Linked DNA regions of Caenorhabditis elegans. The protein of the gene in region 1 purifies or fractionates together with the protein of each later gene. This does not show direct contact. Each region holds a gene or a part of one and is shown in the gene's direction. Other genes may lie near its edges.

Evidence for each region. Proteins that work in one complex are often made in the same cells at the same time.
Region 2: the proteins of K04C2.2 (region 1) and T01B7.5 fractionate together in Caenorhabditis elegans (co-fractionation; one large-scale study listed by BioGRID). This does not show direct contact.

Annotation. Positions count from the first base shown.
Region 1 is NC_003281.10:6,888,115-6,895,602, forward strand, and holds K04C2.2 (DNA polymerase V), read left to right. Parts: upstream 1-1,659; 5' UTR 1,660-1,660; coding exon 1,661-1,762; intron 1,763-1,814; coding exon 1,815-2,006; intron 2,007-2,052; coding exon 2,053-2,253; intron 2,254-2,309; coding exon 2,310-2,501; intron 2,502-2,545; coding exon 2,546-2,633; intron 2,634-2,680; coding exon 2,681-2,871; intron 2,872-2,876; exon of another isoform or gene 2,877-2,929; coding exon of another isoform or gene 2,930-3,015; intron 3,016-3,068; coding exon of another isoform or gene 3,069-3,188; intron 3,189-3,369; coding exon of another isoform or gene 3,370-3,490; exon of another isoform or gene 3,491-3,546; intron 3,547-3,969; coding exon 3,970-4,146; intron 4,147-4,192; coding exon 4,193-4,357; intron 4,358-4,402; coding exon 4,403-4,542; intron 4,543-4,587; coding exon 4,588-4,852; intron 4,853-4,908; coding exon 4,909-5,076; intron 5,077-5,122; coding exon 5,123-5,395; intron 5,396-5,446; coding exon 5,447-5,551; intron 5,552-5,602; coding exon 5,603-5,932; intron 5,933-5,977; coding exon 5,978-6,118; intron 6,119-6,532; and 5 more. Other genes in the region: brd-1 (BRCA1-associated RING domain protein 1), read right to left, coding at 1-123, 177-354, 403-462, 780-955, 999-1,167, 1,217-1,276, 1,320-1,381; K04C2.5 (INSulin related), read right to left, coding at 2,930-3,015, 3,069-3,188, 3,370-3,490.
Region 2 is NC_003280.10:8,715,275-8,722,265, forward strand, and holds T01B7.5 (Sas10 C-terminal domain-containing protein), read left to right. Parts: upstream 1-1,559; 5' UTR 1,560-1,570; coding exon 1,571-1,593; intron 1,594-1,645; coding exon 1,646-1,851; intron 1,852-1,895; coding exon 1,896-2,119; exon of another isoform or gene 2,120-2,162; coding exon 2,163-2,249; intron 2,250-3,114; coding exon 3,115-3,221; intron 3,222-3,268; coding exon 3,269-3,389; intron 3,390-3,434; coding exon 3,435-3,593; intron 3,594-3,759; coding exon 3,760-3,912; intron 3,913-4,658; coding exon 4,659-4,802; 3' UTR 4,803-4,807; intron 4,808-6,238; 3' UTR 6,239-6,411; downstream 6,412-6,991. Other genes in the region: cyn-11 (Peptidyl-prolyl cis-trans isomerase 11), read right to left, coding at 1-28, 466-646, 692-850, 905-1,006; T01B7.13 (uncharacterized protein), read left to right, coding at 143-297, 347-443.

The DNA of each region.
Region 1 (7,488 bases):
GAGAGGAATCGCTTTCGAGAAAATATCTTCTTCGATAATTTCGGCTTTAACTGGATTACTGCTACTTCCGAAAGCTTGAGCATACGTTGCAACACCAGTTGCTGCTGGAGCAGTTGAGCGACGCTGAAGAATTTCCGTTAAAGTTCTGAAGCGTCTTTAAAGTGAAATTGTCATACCTCAATAAACGGCGTCAGTAAATCATTTTGATGAGTTCTCTGCGGAACTTGCGATGCAAAAAGATCAACTACAGGCGCAGCCGGTTCATTTTTGACGGAAGTTTTCAGTATCGATGACCTTTTGGGTTTTCTCTCATGAACACTGACAGTTGAAGGGCGTTTTGTCGAATTACGCGTTCTAAAAGTAAATAAAATTCAATTAATTGAAGCAATGTAACAAACTCACGGAGAAGCTTCTTTGCTGTAGTCGTGGAATATATCCAATTCTGGAGAGTTTGAATTTTCCCTGAATTTACTGGGAAAATATGAAAAAAAGTTCTGCGTTCGGGGGGAATCGAACCCCCGTCGAATGCTTGGAAGGCATCCATGCTGACCATTACACCACGAACGCGGCATGGGAAACCAGCTATTAAATGAAGAGACATTTCTACTTGAAGCCACCAAATAGACCGCATCAGGTTTGTAGAAGAAGCATGACGGGAATCGTTTTCTCGGAAAGATATCCCCGATATGTCGCGTTCGTGGTGTAATGGTCAGCATGGATGCCTTCCAAGCATTCGACGGGGGTTCGATTCCCCCCGAACGCAGATTTTTTCGACTTACCGGTTTTCATCTTTACACATCAAATCATCATCCTCTTCACCAAGTTGTCCCATCTCGTCTGGCATATGAGCTTGCGTCTCCAGGAATTTCTCTACGGCATCAGCTGGAGTTTTTTCTTTGTTAAAAATGTTTTGTGTACAGGCAAACTCTGCTTGAGTTAGAGATGTTGTTCCGACCTAAATGAGAATTTAATTTTCGAGCTTTTCACCATTGACTTACTTTCTGTAAAAGGTCGTTTAGTTCAGACAAAGTATCAAAGCACGTTTTCAGCATATGAGCTTCTGTGATTTTGGATGTGTCTAGTGGGAAAGCACAACTCGGACACATGTGTCGAGCCACTGAAGAGCGTTTTCCAGACGGTTTCTGTTGAAATGTGGCGATACATTCCCTGAACATAAACTGAAGTTATTGACAATTTATTAGGTTGCAATACCTACCAGCAATAAGCATGTTTGCAAGATGATCCGAGATATTGCAAGTCTCCCCTCGGTTTTTTGCTGAAATTTTATTTAAGAGGCAAAATCTTGTACAACAACTTACCATTTAACACACTCGATAGCTGTTCGAAACGTTTCCAATGCTTTTTTAGTGTTTTCAAACATTATTTGACGCTGAAACAATAATTAAATCAAACAGGAAAAGAATAAAATTCGAAAATCGCACTTGTTTGTTTGCGCGTCAGGTGTGGTGCGTGCGCACAGAATACATTTTATTTTACGAACAAAATATTTTACTTCTATTTCTTTTTCTTTCATTAAACTAAAATTACATTTATTTTTTGTGTTTTATAGAAAAATACAGTTTACTTGGTCTGGAAAATTCACGAGAATGATCCTCTCGTCAATTTATTCTCTTTTTAATTATAATTTTAAGTTTTAAGCATGAGACCGCCAAGTGAATTACTCGATATTATTTCAAAGCTTGCTGAGCTCGATCCATTAGTCAGAAAAGGAGCAGTTAGACAGCTTTCAAGCAAACAAGAGGTAGGAAAAAAGTAGCTGAAATAAATGCCTAATTAAAGTGTTATTTTTTTAGGAATTATCCGATAACGAGCTCAACACATATGTGATTGAACGTCTTATTTCTGGATGTGCTTCAGCTCGTGCTGCTGTTCGTTTGGGATATACAACCGCTTTGGGTACTATTTTAATGACAAAAGCAGGCGAATCATGGGAACTCGACAAAATATTGGCCGTTGCAGATAAAAAGATGGACCTGGCAGAAAAGGTTGGGATTGTAAGTTCCTTTATTTGTACTAAATGTTTCGATTCAGACTGTTGGTACCGGACATGCAATTGGACATTATCTTATTCTTGTCACATATTGTCAAACCAGAAAACTCAAAGAAGCAGAAGCTACAAAAATTGTTGAGCATTCGAAGAAAATCAGAGACTTTGCTCCAAGCTTGGCATTTTCACAGATTAACCTTCTATGCAGTTTGGCTACAAAGACAAAAGAAAGTGTTTTCCAAAAGGTAAATCAATTTACTGTTTGAACAAAAACAAATCTATATTAATTTTTAAATTTCAGAGTGTATCCCCAGCCATCGAAATGAATTTGGAAGGTCTCAGCTCTCAGTTCACACCGGAAAATGTCTACCTGGCACTTCGCCTTCGTAATTCTCATTCAACAGTGGTTGCAAAATACGCAAAGTTTGTAAAGAAAGACGGATCTATTCAATTTTCTGATGATCAGTATCCTAAAATTTTGGCTGCTTTAAAGGTTAGTTTTCTATTTTAAAATTTTTATAAATACTTTATTTTCAGCGCTGTGACTTCGCCACAGTTCAAGTATTTCTTCCACTTCTCATCAAAGCATCAGTTGAATCATCTGGTTTTGATAAAATGTACCTGAGTAAGTTATACTTTTGAAAAGTTTTTTTTATAAATTCTCATTTTCAGAAGTTCTCGAGCCATGGGCCCTTTCAAGCAACGAGACGAAAGTTTTCGATAGAATTCTCACGATTGTCACTCAATTCTTTGATTTTGGAGGCGATGTGAAATCAATTGTTGTAGTATTTACTAAAGAAGTTTTGAATCGAATGGAGACCGCTACACGTGGAAAAGGACAATTCAGATTGATGAGTAAAAAGGTAATATTCAAGAGTCTTTATTGTTCAAATTTACAAAAATTAGTGAGATAGAAATTATCTAAAGGTAAACTGGCTTTTGTGATCGAATATGTCTCTGAATTTGTTTGATTGCTTTTCGGAGAAGAGCCTGGCAATCTTCCGGTACTGAAAAAAGATTTTTTAAAACTCAAGCTTTCTTCTAAACATCGAAAACATACATTTCTTGCATTGTTGTGTAAGTTCCTCATTTTCCACACAATATTCGGATGTTATTTCACACTCGATAGAACATAAATCGAGTACAGGAAGCCAGACAGCATCAGAAAATGGATCACCGCCTGTAAAAAAAGTGTTGGAACAATATTTAATTTCTTGTATCTTAAAAATGTATGCTGGTAAATTATGAAGAATTAATTCAGAAATCGTTTACAACATTTCTGAAATATACTATAAGATTATTCTTTTGTGTTATTACATAATACAGATTAAATTTGAATTTAAATTGATTTTCTAACTTACATAATTTAGAGTTATGAAACAAAAACTGTGAAACCGATTCGTACTGAATCCGCCTTTTAGACGCTTGTCCATTGATTGCCGCGATCAGAAAAATTCCGATAATAATTGAGCATTTTGTCATTTTGAGTTCCAAATTTAGTATTGCCAAAGTGATGAAAAACTAATACGTAGTTCAACAAAAAGATGAGAAATAGATGAAAGAAAGAAGAAAAAGAAGAAGCATTGTTCATTGAATACCACAATGAACTGTGTAAAGTAACGGGATTCTGGGTGTAATACAGATAGTTCTTTCTATAAGATGATGACACATTAACGACGACCTCATTATATCCATACATATTGTTTTATTTGGATTACGAGTTAGATTTAGAATGTTAGATTTATGAGAGATTGCAGCGATATTTGAGAGACAGGAATGTTGAAAATTGATTATCATTCGAACTTTTTAACACGAAAATATTGAATAATATTATTAAAAGTATACATTCGAACAAAGATTTTAAACTAAAGAAAATTTCGATACTGGCTTAGCTAGGAAATTAAATTTACTTTTAACAACAAAAAAAAAACACATTTCAAAATAATATCTTCATTTTACAGGTGGATGACTTCGCTGCATTCATCCAATCCAAACTTTCTGAACTTCGTGATGAAGAAGCCTATACTGCTCTGAAAGAGCTCGAAAAGTGCGGAAATGTGGACAAGGCCTGTGGTACCGGCCTTACGACCGCCCTACTTTCAAATCTTGGAAAGAAGCAGATCTCTGTGTGGATTAAGGTAGAAAAAGAACTGACGGTTCAATTTCAGCATATAGATTTTTCAGGAAAATCTCTCCAACCAAGATGAAGTTCGGAAGATCGTCTCTGCATTCAGTAACTGGGATGAAAAATCACGAATCACAGTTCTCTCTGCTCTTTTGTCGCAGAAGGCAACTGAAACCAGTCAATCTGTTGTTACCAGCATTATTGATTCACTTTTCTATGTCAAGGTTTGTTCATTGTTTGTTTGAAGTTGAAGTAAAAAATTATTCCAGACTCGTGCTGGAGAGTTCGCATCGATTCAAATTTCTGAGAAAAACGAAGAGGTTCTCCGTCAACTTGTTGTTGCTGTTCAAGGAGAAGAAGAAGTAAAGAAAGCTGAGAAATCGATTGGAAAATCCAAACTTCGCAAGAAGTGAGAATTTAATATTAATTCATTTTCAAAGTTAATTTTTTTCAGGTCCCTTCAAATTCTATGGTATGTCACCCGCTTGTGGTCTCGAATCGCCGCGAGCTCTGTAGATTCTGCCGCCTACGATTCGGATAGCTCAGAAATCTTGGCAATCGCCAAAAACGAAGCAGATGGAAATAACTCACTGGTCTTTGTCGATCTTCTTCTTTCAATTCTGTCCCGCGAGCAAAAGTTCCATCGTACTCCAACTGCATTCGCTTTTGTTCATGCTATTCCTACATTGGAATCTAAAGATTTGTGTCATATTGTTGAGGTAAATTGGTTTTTGAAAAATCTAAATGTCTGAAAAATTTTATTTTGAAATTTCAGACTGCAATGATGAGTGAGGCTGAATTGGCTGGAAACGATGATGAGGATATGGAAGACGAGGAAGGAATGCCATTTGATGAATCTGAAATTCCATCTGGAAATGGAGACGATGAAGCAAGTGATTCGGATGATGATGATGAGGAAGAGGATGATGATGAAGGAAATGAGGTACATTCATTTTTCGTTTTGTAAATTTTACAATAAATATTTTTAGGCAGTTGATCAAGAACTTCTTGATAAATTGAATGCTGCTCTTGGAGATGCTGCTCCGAGAGATTCTAGCAGTGACGTGGAAATGGATGATTTAGATGATGAAGCAATGCAGAAAATGGATGAGAGACTCGCTGCCGCATTCAAAGCAATTGCTCCAAAAGCTGGAAAAGATAAGAAGCGTAGTGCAAAGAGTGTAGAAGCTCTGAAAATGAAAATTGCCGACCTTTTGCTCATCGCAATTTCATCAAAGGAGCTTGCTGAACAGAGCAAAATTGTAAGATTGGTATATAAGAGTTTCTAAGAATATTACTTAAATTTATTTCAGAAACTTGTCGTTCCACTCTTGAAATGGGCTAAAGTCGACGCAAAAACTCACGACAAGGTTGCTCAAAAAGTGTTAGAACTTGTAAACATTGTTGTGAAGATGAAGGTGAGAGCATATTTCAGTTGTGAAAAAATAGTTCTTAACAAATAATTTCAGTTTACTGATGTTTCCGAGAAAGATGCTCTTCAACTTCTGAAACAAGTTCTCGATGAGGCGCAGACAACTACAAATATTCTGATTATTGATACAGTAGCACGATGTGTCACTTTTGTGCTCAAGATTAGTTCTCGCGATGGAAAATCGATGTCAGCTGGTGTCAAAACAGAATTCCAATCACTTTTTGAAAATTATCTGAAGAATGTGGAAGGAAAGGTTCCATCGAATTTTGTCATTCAGCCAATCGCCGATCTTCCATTGCTGTTTGTTGATCAACTTGGAATGCTCATTGATGCCGGATTTGATGAGGAGAATCGAATTTTCAAAAGAGTACGTATTAAAAACACATTTTTATTTAATTTCTGTAAAATTTAGACTGAAATTCTCGGAGCCATTGCGATGATTTTCACGAAGCAAGTGCTCCAGGAGACGAATATCAAGGGTGCGATTATCAAGAAAATTGGAAAATTGGCCGCTGCTTACTTCCAGAAAGTTGTTGATTCTGATAAATCGGAGGTATGGCTTTCAAATATTAAAAAAAATTACCTGAATCACGGTACCCGAGCTAAATACTTTTCGCTTCTTTCGTTTTTTTTTTTGGCGAAAAATTAATTTTTCACTTTTTATTGAAAAAATAGCAAAAAACATCAACAAAAAATTGTTGAACGGTCAAAAAAAACTTTTTACGTAAAACTTTAAACGTTTTTTTTTTAAATTATAAACATGTTTCCAAAAAATTAACATCGAAATTTTAAGTATATTGCTTTATGGTTAAAACAATTAAAATTTCATTCGTTGTCGAAAAAAACCAACTTTTTGCTTTCTTCATTTTTCGGTTTCGAAAAAAATGTGTATTTTTTGGACTTTGACAATGCCAAAAGGAAAAACCAAACAAAGTATATAACTTTTGTAAATTTTCATCTTTTTCAGCTCAAACCACGCCTATTCGGAACTGTCCTTCAACTCATTCTCAAGGTCACAGTTTGCATTCAAAACGACGAGAAACACGTGGATGCACTCCGCGAATCTCTCGAATATGTCATTCAGAAGATGTTTGAAGGTGAAGTTTTCATTCAACTGAAAAAGATCAACCCGACCTGCCATCACGTAAGTTTTCAAATTGAACAGGCAGAATTTAAGTGCAATATTTCAGATCATCGGAAAGTCTATCGCTGGTGCATTCACCTCTATCAAGAAGAGCTTGGATATTGAAAATTAATATTTTTAGACAAAAAAATGCTCCCTCCACATTGTTATCTCATTTGTTGTTGTTGTTTTTTAATTGTTTTAATCAATTCCCTCTGTTCCCCTTGAAATGTTCTTCCAATTGTTGAATTTTAATGTTTTTTATTCAATTGAAATTGTTTTTTTTGAAGATTTAGTTCTTCCCAAATGACACAGCGAAGAAAACCTAAATGTTTCGAGGACTTTTGAAAATCCGTTTTTTCCTCCGATCAGTTTCCTCAATGATCAGCACACTGCGTCGCCACGATCTACACAGTCTCTAACTTTTGTTCTTTCTGCAAAAGTTACACTGATAAGAAACTCGTTGATGAAAGATAGTCTGTGTCTCATGCTCTCTCTTCAATGAGACGATTTTCGAAAGACACTTTCTCTGCGTCTCTTCGTCTTATATGATTTCTAGAAGCTAAATGTCTATCAAAGTCGTATCAGTTGTTTTCGGTCACTTTTTGAAAGTTTTTGAGAGACAGATCAAACGACGCAGAAGTTCTCTCAAAAGTTGGTGAAATAACGTGGAAGAATGAGAGAGTGGGAAAAGAAACAGGAATCATTGAACATTTCCGAGAAGATTACGGTAGAAGCTTCCGAACAAAGTTTGAATAAAGATGAATCTTTTTGATTGTCTTTTTTTAGCCATTAAAAAA
Region 2 (6,991 bases), on another chromosome or scaffold:
ACCGTCAGCATTCCATCGAGTACTCGTCCTGCAATAAACGATCGGTCAGAAATATCAAACATATCAATGGCGTCATTAACTAGCTTTATCTCGTATAAAAGGTGATAAGGATATAAGGAAATCTAGTTGTTTTAGCTAGACGATGACACGCATTCTCGTTCTAATTTTTTTCTTTTTAAAATGCGTTTCATTGCAAACATTACTTCCTTTATTGTATGCTAACGCTGGCATGTTCAACCCATATAATCAGTATAAAACAACAACTATGGCACCATCAATGTATCACCAACATTATCAGTGGGTATCATTAAAATTTGCGATTTTCTTTTTAAAACACTGCTTTCAGGGGATTGGGATGGAGAACTAATGACGTTGGAGACATTTATCACAATCACAATCCGTATTCTTCTTTCTTTGTACTACAGAAATCAACTTATCCGTGAATTTGAAATAAAAAAAAATTACCAAAAACTACATGTTTGTTGTCAAGGAAATCGGTTTTTGCGCAAGTGATAAAAAACTGACAACCATTTGTGTCAGAGCCAGCGTTAGCCATCGAAAGCATTCCTGGTCCTATGTGCTTCAGCTCGAAATTCTCGTCACGGAACTTTGAACCATAGATGCTCATCAAACCGGTTCCATCGCCCTGAAAAAATGATATAACTTTAAAATTTAAAATTGTTAAACTTACGTTGCAGAAGTCGCCACCCTGAATCATAAAGTCCTTGATCACACGATGAAATGTGCAGTTTTTGTATCCGTTTGGGACACCATCTTTTTTGTATTCTCCTGTACAGAACTGACGAAAGTTTTCAGCAGTTCTCGGTGTTACATCAGCAAATAACTCGATCTGAAAAATTATGAAATATATAGCAAATTAAAACTGGAATGGTCGTCAACTTACAACAATAGTTCCGATTGGTGCACCACCGGCGGTAACTTCTAGAAAAACGATTGGGTTATCCGGATGACGGAGCTGCTCGGCAAACTTGTCGTATTCAGTCATTCTGAAAAAGAAAACATATAAATGAGTTAGTTTTTAAAACCAGAAAAACGTTTTCTGTAAGTATTCGAAATAAGTATTTTCGAAATGTGTCAGGTTTTTCCGAGAATAATGGGATCAACTGAACTAATCGTTCATAAGTTTTATAACCAAGAAATACAAATTCGTCAATAAAATTCGACATATTCAAGAAAAAAGTGATATTCGTTCTATTCAAAACAAAAAAAGGTGAGCATTAAATGGGTGTATAGAACAATAATAAAGTGCGCGGGTAGTTTGCAATCAGAAACCCCGCCCACAAAGCCCTGCCGCTAATAATTTTCCCCCGTCTTTTCTCAAATTCAACTCGAAAATTCAATTTTTGAATAATTTATCTTGTAAAAGTTCGTTCTATTCATTTAAAAATTAATTTATCGAAGTTTATCACACGATTAAAGCATAATTAACTTTATTAGAGTTATTCATTGATTTGAAAATCAGAATTTGGTTTATTTTCGGTCGGTGCAATCCGTTTCTCTGTTGAAAATGCTATAAATTGCTAATTTTTGGATTTCAGATACTAGAACTATGTCATCAAGGAAGGGGAAAGCGTAAGTTGAATGTTTTTCACAATTTATAAATAATCATTAAATATATTTTCAGATCTGCTCATATCTCATACGAAGACGAAAATGATGATCTCATTGATGAAATCAATACTTTTCATAACAAAGACAGAAAAGTCGAAAAGGGTGCTATTCACAAAAGAAAAACATTCAATCGTCCAGAAGAGGTGTTAAACGTTGAAGCAGAAGCATCGGATAGCAGTGAAGACGATGGATCCGACTTTGATGATGACGATGTTAATGGTAGTTTTCTTTCTGAATTACCTGATTAACGTAATTTATTTAAGATATCACGGACAACAAATGGGGTAAAAAGAGGAAAGATTTCTATGGAACTGGATTCGTGGATAAAGATTGGGGCGGAATGCGTGAAGAAGAAATGGAAGATGCTCAACTCGAAGAGGAAGATGCGTTGACTCGTCAAAAACAAATCGACAAATCGACAGCTGCCATTGCTGATTTATTTGACGACGACGATGAAGATGAGGAAGAAAAAGAAGAAACTGTCGAGGTAAACGAATTGAAAGAATAATTAAAATAATGAAAAGTTTTAGGTGGAAACAGTTTTAGAATTCAATGAGGAGAATGCAAGGACAAAGAACAAAAAAATCGTGAAAACTCTGGAACAATTTGAAGCAAGAGTAAGTTCTAATTTTTTAAAATGTCTCTTCACTTTTTTCCCGGTATCAGTTGCAGCTTCTTCCTCTTGTGATAATTTCCTATTTCTTCCTAATGCCAATTCTCGAAAGTTTATTAAATTTTGAAGCTATCACTTGTGAACATCAAATGCTGATTCGTATCGTTTCCAAGGTTAATTTTTCGTGTTCTCTCTTTTTCAGTATCTTCCCGTTTTCACTTCATCTGTTCTCTTCATTCTTTCAACTAAACACCACCGATGGCTAGTAGATAAGCGGTCTCAAATCGCGCAATCGTCTCTGATTACGTCAAAAACGGGTTGCCATCATAGCCTAAGGATGCTGGACGATTCGCTTTAAACGATGATTCTCAACGGACAAAACACACAATTGAAACGATTTAAATCATCCAACATCAGACGCCGTTATGTGTGAACATTAAAAAGCGAAAGCAAAGTGCCCTTCTGGTGTCTGAAGAATTCGATGCCTGAACTGCTCGAGTTAGTTTCGTATGTTCTCATCCTCAAACATCACATTCTAATTATTCTCATAACTTGTCTTGTTTTCCTCGTTTCTGTTCACCTGGTCGGTTTGTAATTCACACCAAACGATGTTGGACATATATCGGCAGCGACCGCCAGCTTTTTCTGTTTTTCAATTATATATTGCTACTTTCAATTCTAATTAGCGGCTAAGAATTGTTATACAGCTGTTTCCGGAGAGCTCGTGACCAGTTTCCTTTTCACCTGATAACATTTTCTCTTGTTGTTATCTTTCTCTTCTTCCTTTTCACTTGTTTCTTTTCATCACCATTCTAACAGTTCAATTTTCCCCTTTTTTCGGTTTAATTTTAATTTTTTATACTTTTCAGAAACGCATCTTCGATCTCGTCGTGAAGCCTCTTGAAAATGTAATCAAGCAGATTCCAAAATGCGCATTGCGATCGCAGTTAGTCTACGTTGCCCAGACATATGCATCGTATGTTTTCTTTTCCTAAATTTCCATTTTTATGATTTATCTTTCAGATACCTCATGAACACAGCATTCCTGTTGAATCTCAGAGCCAAACAGTTTTCCAATGAAAAACTCGACGATCCACTTGTTGACATCCATCCTGTAGTGGAGTCGCTGAAACGACTTGAAAAGGTATTCCGATTGATTTAAATTTCAAATACAAACTTTTAAATTCAGAAAATCACCGAGTGTGAAGATTTTTTGCATTCGAATTCGGATCATCTGGATGAGCTCAAGAAATGGGCGGAGTCGGAGCCAGAAAATATGGAAGAATTGATTTCGAAGGTTGGAGATGTTCAACTTACAAAGAAGAATTTTGGAGCAATTATGAACAATGTAAGTTTAGGGAAAACATTATTCGAATTTAAATACATTTTTTGTTTGCCGTATATTTTAAAGATTTTTAAAGTTTGTAAAATTTAAAAAAATTGTACATTCTTTTGTCAATAAAAATCAGGAAACATAGCTGAATTGGATTAAGATCTGGATTTACTTTTTTCAGAATCTTTCAACAATCACATCTTCTGATAACACATCAATTCATCCACACTTCACACCAATGGATGCAGATGAAAAAAGAAAGGCCTCTGACAAAGTTGCCAAAAACCGTGAATACGCAGAACGACGTGGGAAAAAGAAGGCCAAGACCAGCAAGGTAACTTTATTTTCGATTTTTTATCTTATTTTTAATACCAAAAATATTTGTATCATAAACAATTAGTGTATGAAAAATAATTCGATGAGTAGGGTCGACATTTCTTGTGCATGAAAATGTTGTTACAATGCTTTCACGAATACATGAATATATTTGAAAAATAACAATTCTTGTTTGACAAAAAAGTCTCACAAAGCCGAGTTTCATGTGAGATCAAAATATGAATACACTACATAACTCTCTATTTTTTGCTCCAACCCAAAAATCCAATACGTCGAGACGGCGTCTATGCTCCCCACCACAGCGAGTAATTGGCTGCCGAAATCTCAACTTGCTTATTTGGTTTCTATTTTTTTAAGATTCTTTTTCGAGAGTTGTGATAAGAAAATAATTAATTCAGTATCACACCTGCTTGCTACTGAATTCAAAAAAAGTTTTTTAAAAAGCGTAGTGTAATGAATTATCTGAAGCATATTTTAACTCAAAAAGAAAACCGAGCACAAATGAAGCATATAACCATGACTTATTCAGACAGATAAGTAATACGATTTTGTTTAATCTTAATTTTTCTTGAAAGAAATAAAATAGACTCACTGTGACATAGACAATTCAACGTCTAGGCGACGACACTTGAGAGTTTCATCCTTGGTTACGTATACTATGCTCATTTTTACTGCAACTCCCAATTAGCTGCGTTGTGTGTTTTTTTTTTTGAAGTCTCCCAGTTCAATAATTTCTAATTTCAGACTAAAAATCGTCGCAAGGTCCACGCCATCGAGAAGCGCGTCAAGTCTCAGATTGGAAACGTTCGTCGCGAAATGCAGAAATATTCTGGAGAAACGAGCGGAATTCGTGCATCTACAATCAAGTCGACTAAGCTTATCGCTTAAAAAAAGTGAGTTGAATGTAATGCAGACATCTCATTCTGATATCGTGCCATGTCATATTTATCACGCGACATACTCTTCACTCTCCACTGCGCAAATGAGCTTCACTCTTTTACACATGAAAATAATTAGCATATGAAACCGAAAACAATGTGAATATTAACTTTCAACATAAATATCCTATCAACATATAAAAACAATGAAAAACCTGAATTTACTTATCATATGGTACGTATGTTTAACCTTTTCCTATTCCTCTCGTTTGCCCTTTTAGTCGGTTGAATGTGTTTTTGTGTGCCCGGTCACTTTGGGGCTATATTCATCAAAAGAGGATAGCCTTCTTCTTATTCTTCCTCCATCGGTCATTTCGCTCCTCTCTTTTCGACCCCGGCAATATGTGCGCGAGGTCTGGCACCACCGTGTGTGTGTGTGTGAGAGCGAGTATCCTATTTTTTATTCGTGTCCCCCGTCCCCATGAACGACTGGAGCCCTAGCCACCTGCTACTTTCCATTTTAGTTCAGCTGACCTCGTATTGTCTACGAGCTGTTCATAATTTCATAAGAGCAATAAAGTGTACTATAAAACTGTGATTTCAGACTGTTTCTCTATTTTTGAATCTTTTTAAATACAACAAATTCGAAAAGGTGTTGACTAGTCTGTCTGAATGAATATTTTAATTTGAGATTTGAGTCTGATGTGTGTTACACATTGATGAGAATTTAAAGTAATTGTGACGTGTCATTCTCGAAAACCAAGCCTCTTCGGATTTGTTCAATAATTCGTATAGCTCGTTTCATGTCAGAAAGGCGAATACCCGTAACTAAATTACTTTTTCCTAGAATGCTAAAGAAAATAACTGATCTATTTCAATCAAGTTTAGGCTAAAATTTAATAATTGATGGCGTTCACATATGTGTGTGTGCCTGCGTGTGTTTGCGTGTTCGATGATAAGCTTTCTTCTGATTGTCTTCCTATGATTCATCAATTCTATTGCCTCCAGCCTCTTCTTCTTTCATACAATTTTTCACTGAAAGTTTCATAGCTCTCGGAAAATGCCTACGACGAAAATTGTAGTCACATATCACATATTGATAAGCAGACGTTTTTCATATTTCTCTATTTCTATTCAATGATATAAAGTGGTCTGCAGCATGTTTGATTATTAATTTTTTTTTTTCTAAATTGAATTATCTTGGCTTTGAACTGATTAAAAAATGCATTTTCTATTTTCTTTACAATCGATCGTTTTGTTATAGTCCTCGTGTGAATTCTAAAAATGTTCGTTCATCAGAAATTATAGATGACCTTTGTTTATTTTGTGTCTTCTATGAAAAAAAAAAGAGCCTATCATCCAAAACTTCTGATATCAACGGTTGAAAATTAATTTTTATCAATTTTCTCAACATTGCATTACCTTTTCAACCAATTTAATTTTCAGGTGTCATCAATTTCTCCGTTGCCACTGCATTCAGCTGGACTTTCCTGGTTTTTTTGATCGTTAATATCTTGTTTTCTTTGATTTATTCATTTTTCATTTATCCTGTTAACCTTCGTTGTTGATTTTTTTTGTTCCTAAAATCGCCCTTTCTACCAAAATGAAGTTGAGTTTTCAATTTTATTGAAAATAATTATTTTATTGCCTTATATCGGTTTGAAACCCGACGAATATCTTTCTTCTATTATCTTATTATTGTCATTTCCCATATTCACATTACTTCTTCATTATTATCTTCATACATTGTTATCACATGGCTCCTCATTGATTATGATAGATTCATTTCCCCTCTGGAGATTTGATTGTCTTGGCAACAGTCATTCTCCCCACCAACACATATCAGCTCGCAGCTCCGCCTCATTCTACATTTTCTCATTTTACATTCCATTCAGTCGGCTCAGTGTCTTTCGTTTCCCCAAAAAGCTCGCTTAGATATAAACCTATAATTATCAGAGTGTTGAAGCAAACATCTCCGATGCTCGGTGAGCTGCAGTGACTAACTGAGACAAGCACTGGTTTTCAGCTTAGAAATTCACCTGTTTCTGTGGCATTTTCGCAATATTATATTTCCTGAATTTCTTAGAATCAGAGTGTCACTGTAATTTCAGCTGCTCGTTACCGAGGCTTCACGTAATGGGCGGACGAGTACTGTTCCCCAATGCTCCCCCAATCTTTGCACTTTTTTATCTGCTCATG